Schizosaccharomyces pombe: one gene and its partners. Changing the gene in region 3 together with the main gene of any one other region gives a genetic interaction. Each region holds a gene or a part of one and is shown on either strand. Other genes may lie near its edges. The genes, in order: myo1, end4 and ubp9.

The links.
Region 1: mutations in ubp9 (region 3) and myo1 are lethal when combined (synthetic lethality), as found in Schizosaccharomyces pombe (one study listed by BioGRID).
Region 2: mutations in ubp9 (region 3) and end4 impair growth when combined (synthetic growth defect), as found in Schizosaccharomyces pombe (one study listed by BioGRID).

The regions. Positions count from the first base shown.
Region 1 is NC_003423.3:1,026,237-1,029,993, forward strand, and holds the start of myo1 (myosin I myo1), read right to left. Parts: upstream 1,738-3,757; 5' UTR 1,695-1,737; coding exon 1,692-1,694; intron 1,648-1,691; coding exon 1-1,647. Other genes in the region: coatomer beta subunit Sec26, read right to left, coding at 2,880-3,757. UniProt on the Schizosaccharomyces pombe protein: Type-I myosin implicated in the organization of the actin cytoskeleton. Required for proper actin cytoskeleton polarization.
Region 2 is NC_003424.3:3,133,373-3,137,129, reverse strand, and holds the start of end4 (clathrin adaptor End4), read right to left. Parts: upstream 2,144-3,757; 5' UTR 2,006-2,143; coding exon 1-2,005. Other genes in the region: DNA polymerase zeta catalytic subunit Rev3, read right to left, coding at 2,810-3,757. UniProt on the Schizosaccharomyces pombe protein: Required for cellular morphogenesis and polarization of the cortical cytoskeleton. Required for establishment of new polarized growth zones where it acts in actin organization.
Region 3 is NC_003423.3:2,934,458-2,938,214, forward strand, and holds the start of ubp9 (ubiquitin hydrolase Ubp9), read left to right. Parts: upstream 1-1,694; 5' UTR 1,695-1,753; coding exon 1,754-1,780; intron 1,781-1,824; coding exon 1,825-1,932; intron 1,933-1,981; coding exon 1,982-1,995; intron 1,996-2,023; exon of another isoform or gene 2,024-2,052; coding exon 2,053-3,661; 3' UTR 3,662-3,757. Other genes in the region: mitochondrial outer membrane lipid metabolism regulator Opa3, read left to right, coding at 525-632, 698-855, 974-1,364. UniProt on the Schizosaccharomyces pombe protein: Ubiquitin C-terminal hydrolase involved in regulating actin dynamics and/or endocytosis at cell tips and septa.

The DNA of each region.
Region 1 (3,757 bases), 1.9 Mb from region 3:
TAACTGATCCTTATTCTTATCGGTCATTCCTGTAATGCTGTAGGTTACATCACCAGCGTAATGTTTGACTATAAATTGATTTTGTCTCTGTTCAAAATGTGGATTGGAGGATAAAAAGTTTAACCGCTGAGCAAAAGCACTATCCGCCGCAGCAGAGTCAGCATGAGCGGTAGCGATAGCGTCGTTCATTGCTGCGAAAAGACCAGGAGGTCGTTTGGATTCAATCAAATCACATACAACTTTATTGTTGAAATATTTGATAGGAGTCCAAGCAATTTGCTCACGCACGTATTCTTCCTGTTCAGTTTTCAAAGTAAGTTCTATAAAAATTTGTTGCAATTTTTCATTAACATAGTTAATGCACAATTGTTCAAAAGAGTTGTTTTCAAAGATTTCAAAGCCGTAAATATCTAAAATACCAATCGAATTGGAAACGCTGTTGTCTGATGTGACCAAAGCTTTGTTGACACGTTCGACAATCCAATCAAAAAGACAGTTATAAATCGCCATAGACAAAGCATCACGAACAGCCAAAGCTTGTGTTGGATTTAAGGGGACTTCATATACAGATCCGCGCCTTGCACCATGCTGAGTTTGCATAATACGAATTGTCAAGGCACGCTCAATAGCCGCAACAGGAACACCGATCAAATAGCCTAAAAATTCGGTGATGCTCTTGTCAGAAATCACGCTACCACCATCTTGGCCTTCTTGAAATTGAATATTTCCTAACCAAAGGATGATAGAAAGCATCCTAAATATTTCATCTTGCTCCGGCTCGGTGATACCAATAACCTTCATGGCGTTCATCGTTCCTTGGAAGTCCTTCTCATCTGAAATCCCATCAACCGACAAACATTGACAAGCAGAAGTGTAAACATAATTCTCCGGACCTTGAATGCCATATGTATCACGATATTTCTGAGGAGCGCTCTTGGTGAATTGATAGAAAATATGGAAATTACGCTCATTGCGAACTTGATTAACAATTCGGTTCTTTTCTAATAAGTAGTTCGTAATTTTAGCGCCGACAGGAACACCTCCGGAATTAAAAATCATTTCTAAATACTTTCCATGACGAGAAGAATTATTATTGCGAAGAGTTTTTGCACAACCAAAACTTTCCAATAAAGGATTGGTAGCTAAAATAATTTCGGAAACTCTTTCAATTTCAGTGCCAACGGACTTTGAAACATGTGTAATATATTGCATGATCCTTTTTGCAGCCTCAGTCTTACCAGCACCCGATTCACCAGAAATGATAATACATTGATTCTCATGATAAGACTTCATTTGATAGTAAGCGTTCTCAGCAATTGCATAAACGTGAGGGCTCGTTTCCAAACGGTTTTTTCCTTGATATGATTTCAAAATATCCATCGTATAAATACCCAGGTCTCGAAATGGATTTACAGAAATCAACACATGTCCAATATATGTATAAATCTCTCCATTGCGAAATCTCAGTTCCAAGTTTTTGTTAATTTCCTCATCTGTAATTTTCGAAAGTAGGGTTAAATCATCAACACCCACAGTCTTTTTGCGTGTGCTGGTATAAACAGCCTTTTTAATACCATTGCTTTTCCCAGTGCTATTGGGAGCAGCTGCAGTCGCAGCTTTCGCGCGGTTTGTTCTCTTAAGGATGGCCTAATTTATTAATTAGCTAACATTCGGCATGCATATTTACTTACCATAAAATCTATTCACTTATGGCCGAACAAGAGATAGGTTAACGACAAGTCCGCACTTACGTGTAGGTTTCTTCTAATACTGAGATAATTGCGTTACGGATCGTTAAAATGAGCGAAATATGAGTTTCTAGGTCAATATTGCCAAAGACCGTTCGAAACTTCAGACCCCAATTATTAAAATTGTACTTTAGCTGAAAATTGAATATACTTTAGCTTTCTGTCGTTTGCTTCATCCATTTTTGGTATTGACATTAAAACAATTACCTAGCCGAAAGAGGCTTGTTATGTAACATACTCGAACGAAACTTATCCAAATGTGTTTTAGGGTAACTTCATTAGGTAAGGTAACGAACACACTAAAGGTATGAAATTTGCGACTAATTATGATGAAGTGATAAACATAACGCGCTTGAATTAGTTAATACTTGATTTGATTATTGTGTGTTCATGTAGTCGATAAGATGAATTAAATGAACATGAATTTTCAATTATGAATATTTTAAGTCGAAGATACCTTTCATAAAGCGAGAAGTTTTGAAGTATTTTAGATATAACGGCTATCGCCGTTTCAAGAACCAAAGCAGCCGCAGATTATTATAACGCGACATAAAAGGTTGAATTCCCCAGCAAATACAACTGTAGTTCTCGTATTGACCTTGAGTATATTCTATGACAATTAACTTATTACAGATATTAGGATGTAACACAATATGAGAGAAGCTATATGATTTGCAGTAACTTAAACATAATCATCTGTTTATATCATTTATAAAAGAATACAAACAGTGATTTATAGACAACGTTTGTGAGTGCCATAATTAATTGAAATAACGGGGTTTATATATAATACCAAACTAAATGCACGAGATGAAAGCTAATCTACTTGCCTGTTACAGAGAAATACAAGGTACACAACTTTAGTAATGTCAGGATATCAAGTAGTGAGAACATGACAAGGCAGGCTCCTTTTAATTGCGAAATCGTAGAAATATCATAAGGAGCTAAATAAAGAACGGCAGGAAAGGTATTTACAACAAGAGTAATAAAACAGCGTATCAGATATCGATTTAGCGAAATATTAGACACATGATATACCTACTAAATCAGCATCCATAACAGCTTTCCCATTGTGAATTTAATCCATCAAGAAATTTAAAGAGTGGATAACATTCCTTATATAATTCTACTCTAAACAAATGCACCCAAGCTAAGGGCAATGCCTTGAGTTTTTGAACGAATGCGAACATGTCCTGAGATAGGACCGGAGACGGATTTTTCAACGCTAAGACTCATAAGTGCGTCTTCCCCAAAAATACTGCAGGCGTACAAATTAGCACTCAAAAAACCACAGTCACCACGCAGAGACGCGTCTGGAGTAAGACAGTTCATATTGGTTTTCTTCATTATTTTATGTAAGAAATCGTACAGACTAATGTCTTCGTTGGAAGAAATATCGACCTTGTTTTCCCATTCAAATTCCGTCCACATGCTACGGAATTGAGATTCGGGAATGAATGCGGGTTTTATATAATCAATAATGTTGACTGGAATGCCATTCAAAACAACAATTTTGTCTTCGTCGGATGCTTTACCACCATACACGATATTTCCAAAGATTACTGCAGACTCCGTTGAAGATACCTTTACCGTAGCCTGAACAGATTTAAAGGCATGAGGTCCTAAATTCATGGGTGGTGGACGCTCTACAACCTTAAGATCTCCCAACGTAGCCAAATCAACAGAGAGATTCTGTAACGTGGTATCCGTTCGATTAACCAATAATATGTCTAGAATAATATCAAATTGTTGTATCTTCACATATGCCTCACAGTAAACAGGATCTGTAAAACCGGCTAATTGTACGATATGATCTAATTTAGATGCCAAATCTTCCACTACCATACCATCGTTGGTGGCTTGTATGATGTCGGACTCAAAATTAAGATCCTGCTTTTCTTCAATGACCCTTTGAAATTGGCGAATATTCAGTAGCTCATCGGCTTGAACAGCATCACTTCCATTAACTAACAAATCTGCCTCCTTTTGTCGCTTGTCTGATTGAGCAA
Region 2 (3,757 bases), on a different chromosome or scaffold from region 3:
GATCAATGTCATTACGATCCAATTGTAATTTGCTAAGCTGTAACAGAGACTCGTCGACAGCTGCTTTTTGAATCTCCAGCTCTTCTTCCTTTTCCTGCAAAAGTTGGCGGTACCGATTTTCAGTAGACTTCAATTCAACACCTAAGTTGGCTAGCTCACGATCCTTTGAATGAAGAGCATCTTCTAAATGAGCAACTTCTGTATTATAACGACTAAGCAAATTTGATACTTCAGATGATTTATTGCGCTCAAGGGAAGCAGCCTTTTCCTGAAGTAAACGTAATTCACGCTCAGTGCTTTCTTGCTTGTCTCGTTGACTACGATGCATAGTCTCGAGTTCGTGACGAGCCCTGTCTCTTTCCAAAATCATATCAGCAAGTTCCAAGTTTTTATTCTTCATTTCTCTTTCCATTTTTTCTTTCTTGTCAATAGCCTCTTGCGCAGAACTTGCTTTGAGCTGAATTTGTTTATATTTCGAAAGTAAATCTAAGTGTTCCTGACGAAGTTGTGTATATAATTTGGCTAATGCTTCGTACTTGTTTTTCCATGTAAGAATCTGATTTTTTAAAGATTCAATAAGATCATCATTTTGATGTATTTGCTCCTGCAAGTTAACGCCAGCCTGGCTCAGCTCATTTTCAAGAGTTCTCACTCTAGCATCATATTGATTAAGTAACACATTGCTCTGTTCAAGTTGTCCTCGAGTAGCAAGAAGCTGTTGCTCAAGTTCAGCCAACTGTCCTTGTGTTTGCATTTGAAATTGTTGCTGAGCAAGTTGTTCTTGCGCAATACGCTGTTGTTCAGCTTGTGCCATTTGAATTGCCTCCAAGGCCTGCTGATGTTGCTGTGCGGCCATCCGTTGACGCTCCATTTCGGCAGCTTGCTGAGCTGCTAATTGAGCCTGCTGTGCTGCGGCCTGCTGAGCCGCTAACTCTGCTTGTTGTTGAGCAGCTTGCTGAGCCGCTTGCTGAGCAGCCAATTGTTGATCTAAAGTAGGATCAGACCAGAAATCTTGAATAGGTTCAGGTTCACTATAAGCCGGAGTAATGTCGCTAGTATCAGGAAAATTCATTTCAACCGGCGGAGATGGAGAAGTACCAGTAGGCTGAGGAGCAATGGTCGAGGCGCCAGTGGGTTGGGGAGCAATTGAAGCAGGTCTCTTAGGAAGATCAGGGATATTGTCATCACCTTCCAAATCGGGGGGATCATGTGGAAGACGAGGGACTGAAATGAGACTAGTCAAATATCGAAGATTTGAACAATCCGCGTAAAATTGACGAAGCCTATGGTGTTGTGACTTATATCTATGCTTCAAAGGTTCCAAAGTCTCTGGGGCATCAACTGTGCTATATAAAGCACGTAACATACTAGTTAAAAATCGATAAATACCATATGACTCCTGAACTAGAGGCACAAGGGCTGCAATTCTACATTCATTTTTATTTGAACGCTTGAAGTTAGAAAAAAGCTGTTTTTGAAATTCATCAATATGATCCTGAAGATTCATCATGTCGTATACAGTTTCATAACCTTCATTAGGGTCATCGACTTGCCTAAGACTAATGTATTCTTTATACTCAAAAGTACCATTAAATTCCGGATGTTGAGCATGAAAAGAAAGCTTATCAAGTAAATAATCCACATAATCACGAATTAAATCGCTATAGCCCTTTGGACTACTTTCACCATCATACTGTCGTTCACAAGTTTTAAGCCAGCCTTTCTCACTTTGAGAATCAACAAGTGCAGACTTATGACCTTCTTGCAAGACACGATGTATGGTAATTAACGCCTTGAAAGTTTGAACTTCGTTTGCAAGCAATGGCTGAACTTTTATAGCAGTCCAAAAAGGCCTGGCTGTATGATGATCCCAAGTGAAAATGATGCAGCTACGAACGTGCTTTCGCTTTGGGGCTGTTTCATCGATGCTAGTAGCCTTCCGCACGCTTGTCATCAACGATGCGTCTGACTGCATGTGATCGGATTGCAGTCGAAACGAACTCATCGTGTACTTTTCGATTTCTCACTTTTGGTAATTAAAAATTTGCCAATTCAAATCCTAACAATTTCTGGTAAAATACAAATATCGTAGTGCTATGTACAAGATTGTCTTCTGTCCGTTCTTACTATAGAAATTGGTTCTGTTTCAAAACTACGACATCCGTGTCCCGTACGAATTTTGATAATTACGAAGTAATTTGTCTCGCAAATATCAGCTACGTATTTCGGTATCTATTTTAACGATACTTAAAAACAGTATTGAATCTTCCTTGTGATTGTTATATTGCAATACGAGGTAATATAAGTAGCAATTGATGTAAGTATTCTAATACACATTATCTGTTACTTATCACTAACGTAGCTAAAAACCGATTCCCGTCCTCACTTCAGTTTATCTCAATATATAGTGTTAAGAATTTGAATGTAGTAAGTGATAGTTACTTTATCATAATTAGTAACCGTACCTTGATAACTTATCATGTCAAGTTGATAAATCAAAACAGTGCACTTGACATATAGTGACACGCGACGTAAAGTATCACAGCGTAGTATTGCGGACAGTAAAAAGTAAATAAAGAATTGCTACGCACCCTAGAATACGAAGAGGTTTACTAAATTTTAACTAAAAAAAAAAAATCCAATAACATGATGATATTAATATTTTTAGTTATCGATATAACCTTCTAAAAAAAATAAATAATTGTAATAAATAATACGTAGATGAATAAACTAGCAGGTGATAAGAGAACAAATGCCTGATGTATTTTAATTTCAAGTCCTTCACACCAATATTTGAAGTTATAATGATTTACCAGTCTAAAGAACCAAGAGTCTTCGTTAACATTTCTGCCTGTACTTTCGCATAATTCTCAGTTTTCGCCCTATCATAGTACACCTTACAGCTATTTGACTTGCAAAGAACTGGATCACTAGATGAAAGCTTACTGCAGCCTCGACAAATATCAAATAGCAAGGAAAGTTTTTTGTTATAAGCATTGTGCTGCGTAACAGCTTTAGAAATAGTAGCACAAGGATTTTTTAAGCAATCACTGCAGAGGGAGTTAATTTTATCAGGAATAATTTCAATATTATTCTTCAAGCAAGAAGAGCAAAGCTTCTCCATCAGAAAAGTGTCCAAAGTCTTTTTTTGAATACCTCCTTTCACTGTTTCAGTCAATTTTAAACTGGTACGTGGTTTGGGCATTTCATGATACCATGACTGGGCACTAGCCCCTAACAAGTTTAGAAATCGATCTAATGGAGGTATCAAACTATTGTTGATATAATAATTTATATCAAGTTGAGAAAAACTCGAAGACAGAAATTCTTCGGGTGCAACTGAGCGGTTCGCCAAGGTGGTACCAGGAGCAGCAGCGATAATCAAATATGGAACACGTTCTCCATATTGAGGTTCCCTCCTAGGATCTTTGGTCATCAACCGTCTAGCCATAACTGCTCCAGGAGGAGCAGTACTTAATTCTTTATATTTTTCTAGACGAACTTCTTTTGAAAAACAAAAATCCATAACAGGAACGTTTCCACTCATAATTTGATAACATACGTTCTGAAATTCTTTTTTGACCGTTGACAAATCCTTTGTCTTAAAAAGTATTTCAAGGCAACGACGAAGGAGCTGCTGTTGAACAGGAGTACCATCCCTTCGAACTGTCTCAATGCCTTTCGCTTCAAAAATTGGAGCTTTTTGACTAACTGATTCAAATTTGAACCCTACATATCTTTTTTTCGCTAACAAGAA
Region 3 (3,757 bases):
CAAATATATAATAGTAAGTCAAAGGTTGAATGGTATGTACGTTACATTAAGAAATGAAAATACAACTGTACTACTAAGGACAAGTATTGATAACTGCGACACTAAAGTTTCTAATACAAGCAAAATATTAAGCACACACAGGGATCGGTGTAAGAAGGATTAGTAAACCAATCAGAGAAACCGACAGAATATGCATATCAAGTTCAGCAACATCAAATTTACTTTCCTCTTCCAATAACTTTTCTAATTAATAGATTAAAAAAATAAAGCACGCACTTGGTGTTGCGGTTTTAAATATTGCTATTGATTAACGGAAGAGTATATCTTCGACCTTGCATAAATATCCTAGCTATTGTTACACGCTTATATCTGCATTCTAATTTTATCGGAGATTTCTTTCTTTTATACCTCTATTTAATTGAGGTGGTAGTACTTTTAGTCGGTAATTTGAAATCCTTTGCGGGTTTATTCCCCCTCGAATATTTTTGAAGTTCTGGTATCCATTAACATTTCTCTACAATCCAATGTCTTCTCTAGCCTTAAAAATCGGAAGCTTGTTAGTAAGAACATTATCCAAACCGATTGCCAATACAATCAAAGCCCAAGCTAAAGAGCACAAGGCTTTCCGAAAGGTATAAATCAGTAAAATAGATGATAAAGAGAATCTTATAGCATTACTAACGAAATTTCTATATAGGCATGTATTGAATTTGCTCAATGGATGCATCGCGCGGAATTTAGAATAACAGGAATTAACAGAGCTAAAAGTGGAGGAGCTAATGTACGATTACGACCTTTAAACGATGCCAAAGCAGTCGATGCTGGTGCAACATTTTTATCAGAAACTTTTATATTGTATGAAAATTAATACGATTTGACGTACTTCCTCTCCACAATGCTTAATACGGCACATTGTGAAGGAGCTACGAAATCCAACTTGTCACAATGTTCTTCTCTTGCTAACAATTTACAGTACTGTTGCTGGAGGAGCCATTTTATTTGAAACATGGAGGGCTCGTAGAAAGGAAAAGAATAGACGAGATGAAGTTGCTGAAGCGATTCTTGGTTTACAACATGAAATCGTTCGTATTAACGAAATCATGGAAAAGCAGTTTGTTTTACAGAAGAAAAAGAATGAACTCCAATCTTCGACTGAGGAAATTGATAGTACCGAAAAGGATTTTGACGAACTCCACAAAGTCATTCTTAAAGTTGAACGTGAGCTCCATACTCTTCGTCAAAACACGCCAAGTCAGAACGAGCAAGCAGAAGCCACTCCTTCAAAGGAAATCCCACGTGAAACAGTCTCAGAAAAGGCAGATCATCCTCCATCTTCTAACACCAAATCGGTTTCTACAGGTTAGTGGATGGTGAATACTACGATTACACATAACTTGCATTAATGAGTAAATTTTGATACATTGCAGAAATTCATCTGTTCCCATTTCACCAAACTGATGTTTACTTTCTTTTAATTTATTGTACATTTGATACTTCGTTTAACCAGATCACATTTCCAAAATTAGTTACGGTTTATTTATAGCTTTTTTGACTTAATATCTACTGAGTTTTATCGCTCATTTTACAATACATTGCACTTCGTTATTTTAGATAGTTGGCTGTTAATATAATAATAGCCTAAGATTATGATCACCAACGTACGCCCCTTTCTGAGCGCGTGAAAGCTTCCCTTTGCGTTCACTTCCCCGCTGTGCTTGGTTTGTAAACTTAGCATCCTTTAGTTCAACTCAGCATGTCGCTGCTTCGTTGGATGGGAATGGTAATTCAATTGTTAGTTATGAATTGAAGACTGACAAACTATAGAATTCCCCAGGCTCCACTGACCGGCGTAAAAGCACTTGGGAAGCAGAGTTGCCGAAGCCATCAATTCGCCCTGAAACCCTAACAGATCGATTCTATGGTTTAACAAATGTAAGCATTTTTATTAGTTATAATTTCTTCTGCTCTAACATATTTTTAGTATGGAAATACATGGTATGGCGATCATACTTGTAGCGTTGCTTTTATGATTGTAAATTTCTAACGAAATAGTTACGTGAGTTCTGTCTTAGTATCTTTATACCATTTAAAGCCCTTTCGTGATTCTTTAAATTCGTATCCTCTTCCGAGTGCTCCTCCAAATTTTAAAAGCGTTTGTACAAAAACCAACCATCCTGAATCATCTTCCTCACGACACAGTAAGAAAAAGAGCATGGAGAATAGGAAGTCCTCTTTATACGGGTCCAATGGTATAAATTCTTGCGGCTGTGTCGATATTAGTAACGTCGGCTCTGAATCCGGGACGAAGCATCAAATCGTTGTAGGCGAAAGCAATTGTTCTGCTTATGGAATGAAAGAAAACATATATACTTGTTTAAAGGATCTTTATTGCTCCGTAAGTTGCTGTGATTGTCGTTATGGTATTTGTTCTCCCGAGCGTTTTATCCAAGTTCTACGTAGAGACAATGAAGCTTTTCGCAGTACTCAGCAGCAAGATGCTCACGAGTTTTTTAATTTTCTTCTTAATTCTGTTACAGAAACTCTTGATGAATACTACGGTAATCATTCCGACGTGATGCATCCAAAATGGGTTCATTCTTTGTTTGAAGGAACGCTTACCAGCGAGACGAAATGTTTAACTTGTGAAAACATAACGTCAAGGGATGAAAGCTTTTTAGACCTTAGCATAGATATAGAAAATCACACTTCTGTAACTTCCTGTTTAAGGTCTTTTTCTGCTTCAGAGATGTTGTCCTCCAAAAATAAGTTTCATTGTGATGTTTGCAAAAGTTTGCAGGAAGCAGAAAAAAGAATGAAGATAAAAAAATTACCGAAAATCCTCTCATTACATTTGAAACGTTTTAAATATAACGAAACCCAGGAGGGCCATGATAAACTCTTCTATACTATTGTTTTTACCAACGAAATGAGATTATTTACTACCACCGAAGATGCAGAGAATGCTGAAAGAATGTATTATCTTTCCTCTGTTATTGTTCACGTAGGAGGCGGTCCACATCGTGGTCATTATGTGTCTATCGTTCGCACTAAAACTTATGGCTGGGTCCTTTTTGATGACGAGAACGTAACTCCTGTCAACGAGAATTACCTACAACGATTTTTTGGTGATCAACCTGGTCAGGCTACTGCCTATGTTCTATTTTATACTGCTGCTGATGAAGAAGATGATGATGTTAGTGAAGTAGACACCAAGGAATCAATTAAGCCGATGTCTATTCCAAGTCAACTTAAACAAGAAAGCGTGGAAGTTTCGAATCTATCAAGTACCCCTAGATCAAACTCGACAATAACATATCCTGATATGGATCCGATGGTTGCTTCATTTTCTTCGCAGTATTCTCATAAAACTTTAGATAGAGACATCAATAGCCGTTCTTATTTTGATCGTGAACCATCACTGGATGCAGAAAGATTTCATTCAAGATCTGTTGATGCTTCTCCAAAAGCCGTACGTCGCGAAAGTCGTTCGTTTTTCCCTTCCCTTACACGAAAAAGAAGTAAATTTTTTGGATCATCCCAAAGCAACTCCCCTAAAGATTCACCATTAAGGGATACTCACAAGTCTAGTGATGAACATTCAGAGTCGAAGCACTCACATACGCTTCCTTGGCAATTCTCTAGAAGCCGTTCCAAAAGGTAAAGAATTCTTATTTGTGTTTTTTATTACACTTTTCGAGAAATTCTTTTAATGTTTTCATCTCTCATCGTTTTACTTTATATTTTTGACTTTATTTGG